Linked DNA regions of Lonchura striata. The protein of the gene in region 2 interacts with the protein of the main gene of each other region in a biochemical or structural test. Links are inferred from orthologs where the notes say so. Each region holds a gene or a part of one and is shown on either strand. Other genes may lie near its edges. The genes, in order: FGF19 and FGFR4.

Region 1 (8,390 bases), on a different chromosome or scaffold from region 2:
AAACAAAACTATGGCTAGACAAATCTTTAGACTATAGAACAGCCTCTTGGCACTCATCTCTTACAGGTACAACAAGGACATGGCTGGCTCCATACTCAAACACACAAAAAAGTTCCCAAATACCACTACACAAAAAGCTACAAACCCTGCAGTACTCTTCAGTATTTCTGTGAACACATGTTGGGAGCACAGTCAGTTTTGGAAGCTAGGGCTCTTCACTAGGGACAGTTTGGAGGCGATGCCAAAGGGGTCCATGCTGTCCGTCTCCAGAGGCGAGGAGAAGGCCTCTGGCTCAAAGGCCTGGCTGTAATCACCATATTCACCAAAGTCTGCTGACTCCATGGGCACAGTGTTGATCATGGGCAAGAAGTGAGACAGGGGAAGGAAATCTTTCCCCTTGAACTGCTGTCTTTGTTTGGCACTGCTCAAAGACACTGATATTCCGTGTTTTTTGGATCTATACACATTGTAGCCGTCTGGGCGAATCTCCTCCTCGAAGGAGCAGTCTTCAGTGGAATACCTGAGCTGAAAAGCAAGGAATAGTGAGAATTAAAAATATGCCCACCAGGCTGGTTGTATTCAACCACAAAACAAACCTTGGGTGGGAAAAGTCCTAGTCCCTCAGTGGGGGTATCCTGGCTTTCCCAGTCCCTATTCTATTCTATTCTATTCTATTCTATTCTATTCTATTCTATTCTATTCTATTCTATTCTATTCTATTCCAGAAGCCCTGAAGTTCTTTCCATGTCCATCCCATTAAATAAGCTTTGAATCCTGGGATGTGCTTCTCCACAGCCACTACACTTATCCTGTCTGAGCACTGGGAAAAAAGTCTCAGATGCCAGAGCTGATTTAGAGATTTGCCTGTGCAAGGGCTTCAGGATCAGGTCAGTAGAAAGGCAGAGTGGCCAATCAGTAAAACAATGCTAAAAGGTAATTTCCACCTTTTTCCACTCAGAATTTACTGAAATTGCTAAGGATCCTTTTACAAAGTGTCATTTTCATGTTAACATGAGAACTGTTGAATGAATACTAGCACAAGTTAGGACTTTGTACAGAAGAATGTATTTCCTTAGGTATGAATTTGTAAGATTCCATTTGCAATGGCCTGTACAGATACTATATACCTGTAACATCTTAAGTTATAAATATATATATGTATATATAGTATTATAGTTGTATACTGAACCCATATCAGTAGAGCAGACCTCTCTAGATCTTTACACCAGTACTGTATTTCTTACAACTCTGTTGCTATTTCAGTCTCAGCTACTGCAGGTGATTGAACCTTGGTCAACAAAAGAGAATTGCTGATTATGTCTCAGTCTGCAGAGACAGAAATGTCCTCACATGGATGTTCTGCCTGTCTGAACAGAGAGCATATTTAAGACTTCTGGGCCTTTCTCAGACACTCTCAGTAAAATGGAGTAAAATTAAGGTCATGCATTTGGTTATCTTTCAAAAGCATGTTTTAAACTAATAAAGTAATTTTTAAAAAATGTTTTCTTCAAAAAAAATGGTGCAATATTTATCCTTATACACACACACATTGTATCTCAGAAAAATATCTGTATATGATAAAAAATTGGGGTTGGATTGTTGGCTATTGTTGGCTGTCTTTATGAGTGCTCAGCCTCACTAAAAAGGATGATGAAATAAAAAAGATCCTTGCTGAAGAAGTGTGCACTAAAAAGAACAGATATTGATTGAGTCTCTGTGTCTCAGCTATACCTTTCTGTCTTCACTACATTGGGATGGTCTCCAGTCTGTTTTTTTAAACAAGTGCCAAACAGACTTTTTAAATATTTCCAGATTTCGCCCCCCCCCCCCCCCCCCAGAAGGAATCACGGTATGTCAGTAGATTCAGCATTTCCCCTAAACTACTGAAAACAGCACACAGCACATTCAAAACCCAACCCCAGTCATCAGTTTTCCAGTGTCAAAACAGGCCAAGTTGCAGGAGCACAGGTTCAGCCCCTAGGCAGCATGTTTGCCCTTTTGTTCTCCTAGTCCTGAGCATGCTGCTGATAAGGTAAAGATTTACCTGCAGAACTGCCTGGCTGGGCTGTGAGCACAGAGGTGACAGCAGGTGTCCCCAACACGGAGATGGGACAGCACAGATATATCTGTTATGTTTTCAGAATAAAACCCCAGCCTGCATCTAATACACTACGCCAACAAATGCAGCTCCAGTCAACGTGTATGCCTTCAAAATGGTGCTATAGGAAGGGCATTTTAAAATTCTGTGATTACTCAAGTTCAGCTGGTGACACCAATGGGAGCAGAATCCAGGTTCTGATTTGTTTTGGATATACATTAAATAATTAAGCTAATAATTTACCTACCATATAGTCTGAATTTATGCACCTCATCTCAGCCTCAACTGTTTTGAGCCCAGAAAAGCAACAAAATTCAGAAAGAAAGGCTTAATTCTGTGTTCTGCATTCTTAATTTCAAACACATTCAGAAACATCAGTGTTGCTGTTATTAAAGATACTGGGTGTTTTGAGAATGGGCCAAGTCCTTTCCTAAATAAAATAAGCAGAAATTTTCCTGGGGTGATCAAAAAAGAATCAAGCTGTATCTTTACTGTGGCATCATGAAAAGCCATCGCTCTGTGAAATTCAGGCTTCTGTACAGACCAAATCTGAGCTGCAGCTGTCAAATTCTAGAGTCAAGAATATGTTCACATGCCTTAAAAATGAGTTTATGTCAATGACTAGTTGCTAAACGTAGTGAAAAAGCTGATCTAGTGGCATCAGAGAGGCACATAACTCCCCAACCCCTCAAAATCCCGCAGCTGTGCTGTTATAGCAGGGCAGAAGTGAGGTGGTGGAGAAGCATCCTTTCCCCCTCAAAATCCTTTTCTTGTCTGCAACTTCCTAAGAGATGGCAACTCATGTTCCTGGGGGTTGTATGCCCGGCAGCCAGCTGGCTGCAGCTATTCTCCAAAGGAGCAATCTCTTTATAATTTTATTTTCCAGAATACCTGCCTGGAACAGTGAGAAATTACTCATATTCTATTGCAGAGCTTAATCTATTCCTGCAGTAGAATCACAGTCTCCCACCGATGAGAATTCTAAACCTAAATGCCATTTTACCCTGGGCTGTACTTTCAGTATATTTTGGCAGGGGACACTCAGAACATCATTTACTCTCTAAATGACGTTTCTTTTCTGCCTTCTAACAATCCCCACAGCCTTTCGGGCAGTGAGGGTGACGAGAACCGCAGGTCCTAGGGGAGAACAGGCAGGGAAGGTGTGGGAGGGACGGTGGCGGACACCTGGAAGTTTTGTTACCCCATTATTAGACCACGCCGCTGTTCCAGAGCGGAAAATCCCCCCGAGGACAGCAGCGCGGGTGCTCACCTGCCCGTGCAGCCGCCCCGCCTCGTCCATGCACAGGTACCGGGAGCTCTGCACGCCCTTGATGGCCACGGTGCGCACGGCCACGGCGCGAATCTCCAGCAGACCTGCGGGCAGACAGAGAGAGGGGACAGCAGTGTCACCCCCGGCCCATCCCCATCGCCATCGCCATCCCCGCCTCCGCCACTCACTCTGCGGGCTCTGGCTGCCGGCCGCGTCCACCAGCCCGTCAGCGCCGATACGCAGGAAGCAGCTGAAGAGCCCGTGCTTGCTGGCGGTGTAGAGGTGCCGCAGCCGGATGGGCTCTCCCCAGCCGTAGTTGAGGTGCGGGCCGGCGTCGGGCAGCGGCAGCGGCAGCGCGGAGGCGGCGGCGGCCGCCAGAGCGAGCAGCGCCAGCGCGGCGGGGCGCAGCCCCATCCCGGCGCGGCGCCTCGGGGCTGTAGCGCGGCCGCAACCGCCCCCCGGCCTTTTATAGCTCGCCGTAATCAGCTCCATCGATCCGCATCCGATATAGAGCCCATTTCATAGCCGGGTCGGTCACTCCCCCGAAAATATTAAGCGGGTGACACCCTAAAGTCGCGTCCTCCGCATCCGCATCTCCGAGCTCTCTGCTCCTGAGAGGCTCTGCCCGCGGTCCCAGGGCACTGCGCGTCCAGCAGCCCCGATGCGACGCCGGGACGGGGACCGGGGGTGGGCGTGTGTGTACCCAGCCCACCCAGTGACAGGAGGCTGCCCCGCTCCCCGCCGCGGCTCAGCCCCTGCCTTCGCCCTTGCCCGTCCTGTATTTCATTTCCCTTTTCAGAAATAAAAGAGCTGCTGCCTAAACCTGGGCTCGCCTCTCCGGCAGGGGCCGAACGCTCGCTGCGGGAGCGGCACAGCCGCTCCCCGTTCCGGGCAGCCGGCGGGGCACACGGCACTGGTACAGCCCGGCCTGGCCCTGCAAAGCCCGGTCCGGCCGGGTACCGGCGGCTGCAGGTGTCCCGGCGCGGCTCCGGGCTGGATCCCCGCCGGCCATCCCCGGCCGGGTCACTAGATGGAGCCTGGCCCCTGGGATGCGGCTGCCTCGCCTCGGGGGAGCCGCTCTGGGGGCGCTCTCCAGCTCCTGATTGTCCCCACTTCTTACAAAGAGACTGGGAGGAAAAAATCCTGGGTGAAGTAAAACTGCATTACCCGATTTAAGGTTTTCTGGTCCGCGCATGGATTTTTTCCACGTGGGCTCCTCCCAGGGAGCTCGCTCAGCGAGTGCCCCTGGAAAGAAGACACACAAATTTGGCGGCTTTCCACCGTATTTGCATCTCAGACATATTTAAAGGGATTGCTGCCGACTTTTCTGCTGTACATCCAAAGTAATCGTTGAAGGAATTTTCTCAGATTCCCAAAAAGAAAACTGGCAATTTCATAAAGAATTCCACCCCTCCCGCTCCCCCCCCTCCCCCCTGGCCAGGACATTAAATGACAATTCAACAAGACATAGCCCCACCTCCAGACCATCTTCTCTGAAACACAAAGCTTCGATCAGCTTCCACATACTGTTTTTATATTTTGCTACTTGTTCACTTTCATCCTTTTGTCCCTGCACTTGAATCTCCCTCCTGCAAATACTCCCACAAAAAACTGTTCTTCATAAGCAATCTTAGCTCAGTGAGGATGAGCACACAGACAAGCTATACAAAAACACAGAGGCTTGTTAGGAGGGAGGATATCTTGCACTTATTTTCATGTGCAACTTCAGGTGTATTTAACTGGAGTTAAATCCAGTCCACATTTGGATGACCAGGGTCTTGCATAACAAACTCACTGGGAACAAGGGATTAAATCTCATCAATCACTCCAAAAGCAGCTTTTGATTAGCTTTGGGCATTTTTTTGGTGATCAGCTTGAAACACCCAGAAAAAAACCCTAGTTTTTCCCTGAATGATCGCTGAATAATTAATAAGGATTAAGATCACTTTTCATTCAGGTGTCTCCTGCTGCATCCTCCAAATAATGTGTGGGCTTTCCTACCAATTCTGGTCTCCCTTACATCACGGAAGTTCACAGTATTATAAGCCCAGTAAATAATACTAAGGCATGCAAGTCCCTAATTCTTTTTTCCTCTGCAATGTTATTACATGGCTGCTACAAAGGCAGTTCCTGCCCTGCAACCCTGGGCCCCACAGCAGTTGTGCATGTAACTCATCCTGGCATTCTTCAAGGTAATGAGCACCCACCACACACGCGGAGGTTATGGTCTGAAATTAATCTGAAGGGCTTCTTTAGTTCTATTTTTCTGTGCATCTCAGTTAATAGAAGCTGTTTTATGACCCTGCTTATGCTATACTCTAGTGGGAACAATAATCATGATCACAAGTGTTATTTTCTTCATCATGAAGTTCAGGCTTCTTTCAAGTAAGGAACTGATGCTTGGAACTTGTTAATTCATCTCTGTGAGGATCAAAAATTGAGGCAGAAAGGGCAAATCACACTAAATGATATCTCAAATCAGTGAAAAAGGGGGCTATAAAGGAGAATTTCCCAGCAAATGATGGAGAGCCTTTAAAAATAATTTTCGTTGTTGCTGTTGCTGATGTTGCATGGGCTGATGTTAAAGGGTTTGTGTATAATCAAATTGAAACAAAAATTACCACTTAACAAATTTTTTTTTGGAATGGCCTCTCTTGTTAGGGCAAGGTTCCAACCTAAATAATTTGTCCAAGTTCCCCCATAGTCCCTGACAGAGCTAAGTGTCTGCAAACACTTAACTAGACTGAATGGTGCCAATTCTATCACAAAACAGCTGCTGAAGAGATATGGGTTGAATATACCCTGGAAGTGTTCATTTCTTACTGCCTCTGTAAAGAAAAAAAAATAAAAAAGCCTCGATGATTTATTCAGATTCAGGTAACTTATTTTTAGCTAGAAACTAAAGAGAACTTATTTTTAGCTAGAGATAAATGAGCTAGTGAGTGTCACTGAATTCAAAATACAAGAGTTGCGACACATTATTTTAATTTCAGTTCCTGTCTGTGTCACTGAACTTTATCGTTTATTGGCATGTTTTATCAAAGTTCAATAGAAAGACACATGCATTTGCATTTTCTTACAAATGAATTTGCAGGAAAAGAGATGTTTGCAGAACAAATGTATTGTAGGGTAAATCCCACATTCACTTCCAGTGCTGGACCTGCTTCCTGAAACAAGGAAACCTGGTAGTGTCAGATTTTCTGCTTTTATGAAGATAGGAAAAACAACAAAACCCAGGAGGAAAGTCTTATAGACCAAAAATACCTCCTAACTAAACATACACAATTACAAAAGCATTTTCACCTGTTGCAATGCATCATTCATTTCCACTGCACTTTTCCATGCCCCAATGCAATTTCTGCAGAACGAGAAGTCCAGATTTCAGCAATAATGATGTTGAAGTGAATGTGTTTTAGAAGAATAAAATTAGCTATAATTAAAAGTCAAACATCCAGAGATCCTGGAACACACCAAAAAGGTAACAGAGGGCTTGCACCTTACTGGATAACGACATCATTGAAACTAACTGAAAAGAAACTAAGGAAGGTGGCCACAAAAAATGGTGAGGAAATAGGGCAAGAAGCCACCCATGAGTCAAAGTAGGTTGTAGCAGGCTACCTTTGTGGTGGAGATCAAAGGAAGAATGATATAGGTGAGTCACTCAAGGCTGAGTGAGGGTCAAAATGTGATAAAAACTGGAGGTGTTTAGGATGAAGAGACATTTTCTCAATTATGGAACTTTGGAATATCATGGTGACAGCTTTGGTTGTACGAGTCACTGCAGGAAGAGGGAAATACCTCAGAAACACTGAAGACTTTCTCCTTCCTTTGGGCTGTCTTTGGGACCTCCTGCAGATTTTGTATTTGGCATTACACAAGTGTTATCTAGTATTACTTTTGTGAAGAGATCTGTCAATCTTCCCCCTTTTCTCTGAAGTCAGAGGTGGGAGAATTACAGAAGCTGCAAATACTCTGAGGGCAGTAAGGTTCCAGGCAGGACTGGAGATGTCAGTGCTAATGCTGCCAGTTTCTGGTTTCTGCTGTGGTTCCTGCCAGTCATCCCTGAAGTGTCAGAGAAAAGAAAATTATTTTACCCGTGGCAGAGAGCCAACAGAGCAGTCCAGCCTTTTCTCTTGCTTCTGGTGGAGAAGAATATGTCAGGAGAATGAGGGAAGGCATAAGTGAAGACACAGGACACTGTGATACACGGTTACTCGAGCACGAGCTTGTTCTATATAGAGCCTTATCAGCACAGCACAAGTTAAAAAACCTGCCTAAGAAGGAGAGGTTACTCCACCATATGTCAGGGACTGCTCTGCTTCCCAGCTGCTTCTGCAATCCAAGAGGCATGGAGGTGACAATATTTCTCCCGGGGCTGTGAATGAGTGCAGAATTGAGATTCCACAGCTCCTGCTGGGCGCGCCCACTGACAGGATGTCATAGGATCAGGAGAGCACTCAGTCTCTCCCCTGATACCACAGTCCTCGGTGAATTTGTAGGATTCAAATGCATCAGAGACTTATAGATTTTCCAAATGATCCACTTCCAGAGGGATTCTGCTTTTAAAACTGCTCTGCTAATGAAGGACAACACACTGAGGAGATTGTTGCTACTGCAATTGGCATGTGTTGTTGCTGGTTCTTTCCAAGTAGCACAGCCAGACAACCAATTTCAAATATCTCTCACCATTCTGTTATCTAATGCTTCCTCAGCTATTGCTATCAGTCAATGCATTCCGGAGAGCAATACTGAGCCTGGAATCGACTTGGAGCTTGCATAGTCAAATGATATCTTCTGGTTAGGTCTGCTCTAAAGTTCACAAAATTCCCACCAGCTTCAAATAGCCTAAATGCTTTTTTTTCATCACTGTAAGCCATTATTTCATGTTTTAGAGGTATTTTATCCACTCCAATCTTTTCTGTGTGCTATGAAATCCTTCATAATTCCACTATAGAAGAAATCTTACCGATTTTATGGGATCATATTTGATACTGTGCTTCTCCAGCATTAAACCAACAAAAG
Region 2 (9,028 bases):
TGCATCCGGCACAGCACCACAATAATAATGGCCATGGCCACGGCGAGCGAGCCCGAGGTGTAGATGATAATGTCTGTGTACTTGGTCTCAGGGGCCTCAGCTTCCCGCACCAGCTCCTCTTCTGCAGGGAGTGAATGTGTTGGCCTGAGACATGGCCTCTGCGTGCTGGGGATCCCAGACCCCACACCAGAACCCCACCCCTACCTGGCAGGACAGTGAGCCAGGCAGACTGGTAGGAGAGGCCGATAGAGTTCCCTGCCAGGCAGGTGTACTCGCCAGCATCCTCCATGGACACGTTGCGCAGGTACAGCACCTCCACCTCAGAGCTGTTGATATCTGCAGTCTGTCAGAGAGGGATGGACGGTCAGTATCCCTCTTCCTCAGGGAGCTCTGTGCACCCCTGTCACCACCTTAGCACAGGTATCTGGGACCTGAGTGCTTCCAGCCCTTGTTACCTTGAGCACTTGCACATAGGGGACCCCGTCGGGGCCGTAGTTGCTGCCATTCACTTCAATGTGCTTCAGCCACTGGATGTGGGGCTGGGCATCACTGTAGACCTTGCAGAAGAACTCCACATCGCTGCCCACCAGGGCTGTGGTGTTGGCAGGCAGCCCAGCCTGCAAAATGGGCCTGTGCGGGGACCTCTCTGCACACAGGGAGCAGAGCAGTGTCACTAACATGGTGGCCCAGAGTACAGGCTCCTTTCTCCCTCCTTCTCCACCCACCATGGAGCCACATTGGGCCCTTCCCCAACCCTAAAACAGACCAGCGCAACCCAAGCCTGGTCTCCATCCCATGTCCCTGGATTGTGAGGGACATGTGAGCTGCATCAGTGGGTAGGTCACAGAGGCTCCTCCACCCCTTTCTCTGACCCCACCAGGTATGGGGAAGCCCAGATCAGCACATGCTGAGGAACCCTCACCCAACACATCCAGGAGGTAGCTGTAGCGGATGCTGCCAAACCTGTTTTCCACCAGGCAAGTGTAGTTGCCACGGTCAGAGGGCACCACACTCTCCATCACCAGGCTCCAGTGCTGGTGCCGGAGCTGCAGAGAGGGAGGTAAGGCAGTGAGGTGAGCTGGGGAAGAGGGATCCTGGGAGGGAAGCTGTGGTGGGAGGAGCTGTCCCATACCCGGATGCCCCCGATGCGGTGCTCCCCTCGGAACTCTCGACCATTCTTGAACCAGCGAATGCTGGGGCTGGGGCTGCCTGAGGCCGGGCAGCGGAACTTCACCGTGTTCCCCGCAGGGACTGCATACAGCTTCTTGTCCATCCGGTGTGGGTGAGTCCAGTAAGGAGCTGGGGACGTGCAGGATGTACAATGGGAGGGGGCCTGTACAGGTAGCAGGAGGCAGCAGTGCCCCATGCCCCTGGTTCTGCCCCACCTGCCCTCTCCTGTAGTGCCCTGGTGTGGCACTGACCTCTGTGCACATAGACCGACTCCTCATTTCGGTCTCCGTGGGGACTGTCCCCATCACTATCTTCATCATCATCACCTGATGCCAGGGAGTCTGCAAAGGGAAACGGTTGAGAAGGACATCCCTGCCTGCAGGGCTGGGCAGGCAGTGGCTGCTTTGCTGCCCCAAGGGTAGCTGGGTGCTGCCGGGGCTCCTACCCACGACAGAGATGGTGAAGTTGCGCAGGACCTCTCCAGTTCCCCGTGCCCGGCACACATAGAGCCCTGAGTCCTCGTAGGTGACCTCTGAGATCTCCAGCAGGCTCTGACGGAGGTGGATGCGACCTCCTGAGACGAGTGGCCGGGACTCCTTGTACCAGACCACACTGGCACCACTCTGGTTGGCATCACAGTACAGCTTCAATGTGTTGCCTGGGTCCAGGAGGAGATGTTCATCTTCTGACTCCAGCAAGGGGCTCTCAAATAGCTCTGGAGAGATGTGGTGAGCACCCACCCCAGTGCTCACCCCTCCCTGATAGCAGGACCCCTCCATATGCCCATCCTAGTGTGGAGAGCATGTGGTGTGACACAGCCCAGAGCCTGGCTCTGCCACCCTAGAAGCAGGTAAGGGCTGGACTCTGACCTGAAGCACGGGGACATGATTTCCCCAATGGCATGTCCCTGGCCAAGGCCATACATGCCACTATCCTTCCACCACTCCCAGCGGTGCAGGGTGCTCCAGCTTGCTCTGCCTTACTGAAGGAGGGCAACAAACCCCTCCAGACACCCATCGTCGGACCTCTACATGCCCCAAGCATGGCTGGGACCCCTAAAGCCTGGTTGTCCCTGGCAGTGCCCGGCTGGCAGTGGAGCCCAGCTTGCCGATGGCCAGCAGCAGCATGTGCCCGTGGAGGGCAGAAACAACCTGGTCGCCAGCACAGCAATACCACGGCAGCACGACTGCCCATGTGCAGGAGCCTGGAGTGCACGAATGTGCCTCCAGCCCAGTGCATGGCCAGCACAGGAGGGATGTGGGGCAGCTGCTCTCTGGTCCCGGGGGACGCATCCTTCTCCCGCACCCACCACCTCGAGGCACGCACTGCCCGCATTTCACCAGGTGTCACACACAGCAGCCACAGCCCACAGCGGTCTCACAACCCCTCTCTGCCACGCGTGTCCAGCGAGCGAGCCAAGCCCCCGCAGCACAGGGACAGCCTGGCTGGAGCCACCCTGCCCCTGTCAGTGATGGGAACACCGGTCCCTGTGCCCTGTCCCCAGTTCCCACCAGCCCTGCCCTGCAGGCAGAGCGGTGGGGCTGCATGCCCAGGGCAAGCACTCGCATCCCAGCCCAGGGGTCGCCGCCCAGCCGGGATGGAGAAAGTATTCAGAAAGCAGGAACCCACTCCCACCGCCCCCGGGTCCGCGTCGCCCCCCGCAGCCGTACCTGGCTCCATCGCCCTGCCCCGTGCAGCTACCGCCAGCAGCAGCCCCGCCACGACCTGCAAGAGGGGCCGCATCTTCCAGGCCCCCCCAGCGCGGGGGTCCCACCCTGCGGGACAGGCAGGGTCGGGTGAGCGGATCCGGGCGGGCAGACCCCTCCTCTCCCGAGGCACCGGGGAGAAGCAGTGCGAGGTCCCCAGGTCACCGCGAGGGTGGGTGGGCATGGACGGGAGGCAGAGCACGGGGGTCCCTGGGCAGGAATGGGAGGGGGCACGGAGAGTGGGAAACACCCCGTTTGAGCGCCGGGAATTCGACCTCTCCGGCCAGCTTCAGCCTGGTCAGGGCTCTAGGGGAGGTTAACCGGGGGCGGGGGACCACGGAGAATCCCAGGCAGGGGGGAGTGTCCCGGGAGGGGGGGCCCGAATGGTGCCGGGGGCGAGGGTCGCGGTCGGCGCGGTTACCGGCGGTGACGGGCTCCCGCGGCGGAGCCGCCTGCGCTGCGCGGGCCGGGGCAAAGTCCGGGGACAGCGGGCTCAGCGCCGCCGAGCCCCAGACCGTGGCCCCATGGCGGCAGGGCCGGGACGGCTCTGGCTCCGGGCTCGGGACGGCTCCGGCGGCGGGCAGGGCTGGGGCTCGCTCCCGGCTGGCTCCGGCCCCGCTCTGCCGCCGCCTCGGGGGCGCGGGCACTTTGTAGGGACGCGCTCGGGTTACAGCGGCCCCGCCCGGAGCGCTGGGGAGGCGGGAGGGGTGGGGGGACGGGGACCGGCCCCGCATCTCCGGCATCTCTGCAAACCGACCGACCTGCCGCCGAGCTGGACGGGGGAAGGTGGGGGGTAGCACCGGCCTTTCCCCCGCAGCGGCGAGAGGCGGCCCCCGGCCCACTCTGTCCCGGCTCCGCCGGCACAGCCTCCCCTCGCGGGTGGGGAGCACAGGGGGCTGCAAAACACCCGGGGCTGCTCCCCTCTGCTGTCCTCCAGGCAGACCCCACGCGTGGGGAGCAGCAGATGGGACAGGGGGCAAGGCCACCCCTGTTTCCCCCCGATTGCTGGGGGTGGGAGCACTTCAGCCCCAAGCAGCTGTCATGGCCCAAGCTGGGCGCTGAGCGTTGCTGGGTGCCCAGCAGCCCACACGCTAATTGGCTAATTGTGCCATAATTAGTTGTAGCGTTATCGCTGTCAGTGCCATAAAGTGGCTGTGACCCTCATTAGGAGCCCATAACGGAGCATCATAAAACGTGGCTAAGGTGCGAGCCAGCGTTGGAGTGGCCTAATCCAACCCATAAACACTTCGCCCTCACCTTCCCTATGCTGTTGCCTGTGCTGGGGCAGGCAGACCCCACCATGCCCAAGCCCTGTTGCTGGCTGGCCCATACAAGACCACTGGACACTGGGGGATGCCTGGCCTTAGGCACTTCGAGTTGGCGTGATCCCAAGGAACAATGTCCCCTGAGCATCCTGCTGCCATCAAGAGGGGTCAGTGTCCCCCAGTACATGGCCAGGGTCTGGCCCTAGAGTTGCTCTCCTTTCCTGCATTGCATCTGTTTCGCCATCTGCTTTCCAGCAAGATCTTCCAGGGTTATGCTGAGCCCCACACAACAGCCTTGCCCATGCCTGGCGTGGACCTTGTGGCCCTGTGAGTGGGGTACACTGTCACTGTCACCCCTCTTTTTGTAGGATCAAACCTGAGTCCTGGGCACAGCCTTGTCCATGCTGCTCCACTGCACCAAACCATCCAGCATGACATGGTTTCACTGTGAGGTCTGGTTGGTGCTACAATCTCCCATAGCACCATCCACCCTGTGCTGCTCCCCATCTGGAGTACTGGTGTGTGTCCCCTTGGGGTGCAGAGGTGCACAGAGCAGTCCTGGGGGCCAGCAGCCCCCAGCAGCTGTTCATTCCTGCTGACGCGTGAAGCGGACGAGAACATCAATTTCACGGAGCAGCGGCCGCCCCTGCAGAGTTCACAGTGTGCCGGAAGCACAGAAAAATGTTGGGTTCAGCTCAATTCGAACCAAAACCAAATTAAAACCAGAGAGAAGGGGATGTTCCCAGTATTTGGAACACCAGGGAGAGCTGGGACTCTGGGGAGCCTGTGGGAGACACAGCCTGGGATGAACATGGAAAGATTCCCTGTATCCCAGGGTTCCCCAATGCTGAGTGGAAGAAGGGCAAGCAGACCAGTGTGGGCATGTTGCCCAGTGTCACACTGAACATCCCCACTGGGCCAGGACAATGCCAGGCACAGGCCAGGGCTTGGTGGGGCTCTGCTGTAGGCAGCTGGGAACTGGTCACCTCCCTGCCATGGGGCAGTGCTGGGCTGGGGCTGGGCTGCCTGGCTTGATTTATAACAGCAACTGACGGCAAACAAAAAGCCCTTCACAGCAGCCCAGCCCCACCGCCTGCCACCCGCTGCCGGCAGCACCACAACGGCTTCTGCCACGCCAGCAGCTCAACAAGGGGGGATTGTGCCAGCACAGCACTCTGCGCTGTGGGTGCACCCCTGCCCCAGCACCCTCCTCTGATGGCCATCTCCCCCAGCTCATGGGCTGCCCCCATCACTGTGGCACAAGTGACAGCTCACAGCGCGGTGCCCAGAGATGAAGTGTGTTCTCAGAACTTCACAGATGTTGCAGAGGGATCCCTCTTACCCCATGTCCCGTTGGGAGAGACGACCCCCTTGCCAGATCCTTGGCCTTGCTAATATGTGCGGGGCCCCGCAGCAGCGAGCACGCACAAGGGGCCGGGCGCCGGCATGCTGGGGCTCCATCCTCCCGCCCCTGCCCCTTCCCCCAGGCAGTAAATCATCCCCACTCTCCTCATGAAAGGCCCATGTATGTGCTGCCGGTGCAGGGAGCCTGCCTGGTGCCAACAATATTGCTCTTGGAAGGCAGCCGGAGCTGCGGGAACACAGCCGCCCCTTGTGCCTGGCCCCAGCACTTGCCGCCACTCCCGCTGTGGTGGCACCTGCGGCCAGCCAGAGCCCGCGCAGCACGGTGGCTCCTGTGGGGGCCGGAGCCTGGGGGGCTCTTTCCTCCTGGAAGTTTCTCTTGGCCTCTCCTGAACGGCTCTTGTTTGGGGCACAGAAGCCCCAGCTCACTGTACGTGCACAGGATCTGAGGCTGAGCATGCTCATTCAATGTGCTGGGGTGATGTGAACCTTCTGGCACTGAGGGAGTGGGTCAGCCCTGGAGCAAGGGTTTCCAGCTCCATCCAGTCCACTGGCTTCAACATGGTAGCTTCCAGCCCCAGCCACAACCTGCTGCCCTCATATCAGTGGGGGCCCGCTGAGGAAGGGAGGGAGCAAGCTGGATAGGCAGGCAGCTGCCCCAGACTGGGCAGGATGCTCTGCAGGGGCTGGGTCCTGCCCTGGAGGCAAGCAGCCAGGTTTGGGGCAGTATGCCCCATCAGGCCGTGGTCTTTCCTGCCCATCCTTATCTCTGGCTGGGAGGGACTGATGGAGCAACCCAGCTTGGTTAAGGTTTAACCAGGCAGAACTTGGCAAACATAAGCCTGCTGCTCCCTCTGGGGAGCCAAGAATGTGGGGCCCAGTGCAGGGGCTGCAGGACAGGGATATCAGGGACCCAGGCTTCTTCTAGCCCCCAGCATGGCACAGGAGCATCCACAGACTTGGGCAGTGAAGGCTGAGTGGGGAACACACAAGTTGAGGGCAATATGGCAGGAGGGTGGGCAGTGTCATGCCTTGTCCTGCTGCAGCCCTGCCACCTCTTCCTCCCCTGGCTGTGTGGGGGAGTGCTGCAGCTGCAGCTGGCACGGGGAACGAGGTGCATGGGGCCAGAACATCTCCTGCTCCCCATGGGAACATGGCACACACCATGTGCTGGGTTGGGCAACACAGTGCTGATCTGTGGCCAAGAAAGCAGGAGCTTTACTCACCAGCCCTGTCCCCTGCACAACATTTGGGGGTTCAGCCTGGTAAAGCAGCAGCCATGGCAAGGAACTGCAAAGCAAGAATGGGGCCACCCAATTTTCCCAGCCCCTAATTGTAAGCAGGCACCCGGTCCTGACTCCACATCTGCACTTGATTTACTCAATGGAGCCTGCGGGGCCACGAGGGATGGCAGTGGCTGGGACTGTGGCCAGGACTGAGCTTCTCCTGGCTGAGGCAGGGATACTGGGTGTGCTGCTGGAGGAGCAACAGGCTCCACAGAGCTGGCTGCGGCCTGGGCAGGGGACTGTGGTGCTTCTGTGGAGGATGTGGCTGCTGGGTGGTTCTACGCTCTGTCCTGCGCCTGCCAGCCCAGAAGGCGATGGAGTTCAGACTGGCGACACAGCCAGAGCTGTGGCCCGGGGCAGGGAGGCGCAGAGCTGGGCCAACAGCACACCAACACCAGGGCACACCTAGGGACAGGCACCATGCTCCATCCTCAGCTTCCCGGCCATGTGGGTGGCTCTGGTCCCACAGCCAGGCTCCAGGTCCCCTCCTGTCATCCTGGGTGTGCCCATGGGTGCTGGTGCCCTCTGACAACAGTCCAGCAGCAGAATGGGCAGCCCACCAGAGGGGACAGGGAGAAGGTGCCACTACCAGCTTGCTGCCAAGCCCTCCTTACACCAGATAGACACTTCCTCTCACACCACACCCACCTTCACAGGAAGCAATTACACAATGAAAACTACTCTAAGGGAGTGAAGTATTTGCTGTCTAGCAAGTCTCTTCCAGCTGGATCCTTTTCCTGACAGATTCAGTCCCCGTTCTGCTCAACGGGTGTATACAGGAGGGTAGGGCTTTGCTTATCCAGAGGGATAATGAAACCATTGTGGGCTGGCAAAGGATGTGCGCTCTGGGGCCACCAACAACTCCGAGAATAGTGCTGCAACTTGCTCTAGAGGTCTTGGCTGAAGTAACTATAGCCTCCTGGGCCAGTTGACTCTTCCCGGACATACTGTTGTGGCGGGAACGGTCCGACAACCGGCACTGCTCCTGGCATCCTGCACGTTGAAGGGAGCAACAAAAAGGAAAAAAAGGAGACAATGTCACAAATGCTCTGAAATGTGCCAACTGCAATCACTGCTCAGCAGGCAAGGCTGTCAGCAGAGCAACAACCCACTGCAGCCAAGGGAAGATTTGCCAGAAAATCTTCCAAGTGAATCCCTGCTCTCTGTGCCTGTGTGTAAACAGACACCTTTAGCATGGCAGAATTAGCTGCGGCAGAGCTCAAGGACTGCTAAAGAGCTCCCATTACAAAGCAAGCATCCTGCCTCTCTGCAGGCTGCAGAAGCTGGAACAGGACTGCACAGCTGAATCCAGAGGAGCATTCTGAAAGAGAGTTGTGTGGCTGCAACAGCTCCAACAACAGCAGTGTTCTTAAAGAGAACATTAATGTGTATGCGTTGGGAACATCCTCAGTGTTATCTCTCTAGAATGGGATACTTCCTATTCACTAATCTAGTTGTGCTGTTCGAGAGCTGGAACTTCCCTGGGATGAAAGATGTTTTCTCATCAAGTACTCCCCAGAGCTGAGGGACCAGGAGGCTGTTATTCCATAGAGAGGGAACAAGAGATGCCAGTTTTCTTCCTGTCCCTTCTGGGGAATTTGGCTAGGAGCCTGCCCTCCCTTCAGGTAGGATTTCCTAATGCCTCTTCCTTCTAAGAAGCTTTCTAACCAACCCAGGCTCATTACTGTGCCTCTTTTAGTGAAGGCTCTTAAATTAAAGATTGGCAGTCTCCAGAACAAGTATTTTTGGTATTAATCATCTGGAAGCATAATTTTTTTCAATTAATAATATATGCAGGGGATGCCATTATTTAACTTGCCAGCTGTAAGAGCGAGTTCAGGAATATAGTCCAGGCTTCTGGAGCGTGCTGACTATATGCCAAATTTTAAAACAAACAATCCCAATGGAGATTAGAATTGCAAGCAGATCTCCACTGAACCAGTCCTTAATTAAATTAAAATCTCAGTTGTTAAGAGAAACTGTGTTTAATAGGTGTCAGGTTCACTGCAAAGGTCTGTGCTGAGCTGAACTATTAGGAACCTAAAGTCACCGGAGGCACTTCCACCTCGGCAGCACAACTGGGCGGTCTGCAGAGGGAGCTCCTGGAGCAGCCTCGGGACACAGAGAGCCTGCACAGACCCTGCTCTTCTGTTTGGAAGTCAGCTGGAAACACGTGCTCAGAACTGCATTTTAGGTTATATTTAGGCCATCGATTTTAACAGCAAGGCTGAAACACTCT

The links.
Region 1: the proteins of FGFR4 (region 2) and FGF19 form a complex in vitro, tested with the Homo sapiens proteins (2 studies listed by BioGRID and IntAct). The link is inferred for Lonchura striata from reciprocal best matches to the Homo sapiens genes FGFR4 and FGF19.

The regions. Positions count from the first base shown.
Region 1 is NC_134608.1:55,200,313-55,208,702, reverse strand, and holds FGF19 (fibroblast growth factor 19), read right to left. Parts: upstream 3,783-8,390; coding exon 3,557-3,782; intron 3,473-3,556; coding exon 3,369-3,472; intron 526-3,368; coding exon 193-525; downstream 1-192. UniProt on the Homo sapiens protein: Involved in the suppression of bile acid biosynthesis through down-regulation of CYP7A1 expression, following positive regulation of the JNK and ERK1/2 cascades. Stimulates glucose uptake in adipocytes. Activity requires the presence of KLB and FGFR4.
Region 2 is NC_134617.1:3,320,678-3,329,705, forward strand, and holds the start of FGFR4 (fibroblast growth factor receptor 4), read right to left. Parts: upstream 3,353-9,028; 5' UTR 3,298-3,352; intron 2,946-3,297; 5' UTR 2,914-2,945; coding exon 2,841-2,913; intron 1,886-2,840; coding exon 1,616-1,885; intron 1,512-1,615; coding exon 1,422-1,511; intron 1,300-1,421; coding exon 1,133-1,299; intron 1,047-1,132; coding exon 923-1,046; intron 647-922; coding exon 456-646; intron 344-455; coding exon 205-343; intron 122-204; coding exon 1-121. Other genes in the region: ZNF346 (zinc finger protein 346), read right to left, coding at 7,677-7,782. UniProt on the Homo sapiens protein: Tyrosine-protein kinase that acts as a cell-surface receptor for fibroblast growth factors and plays a role in the regulation of cell proliferation, differentiation and migration, and in regulation of lipid metabolism, bile acid biosynthesis, glucose uptake, vitamin D metabolism and phosphate homeostasis.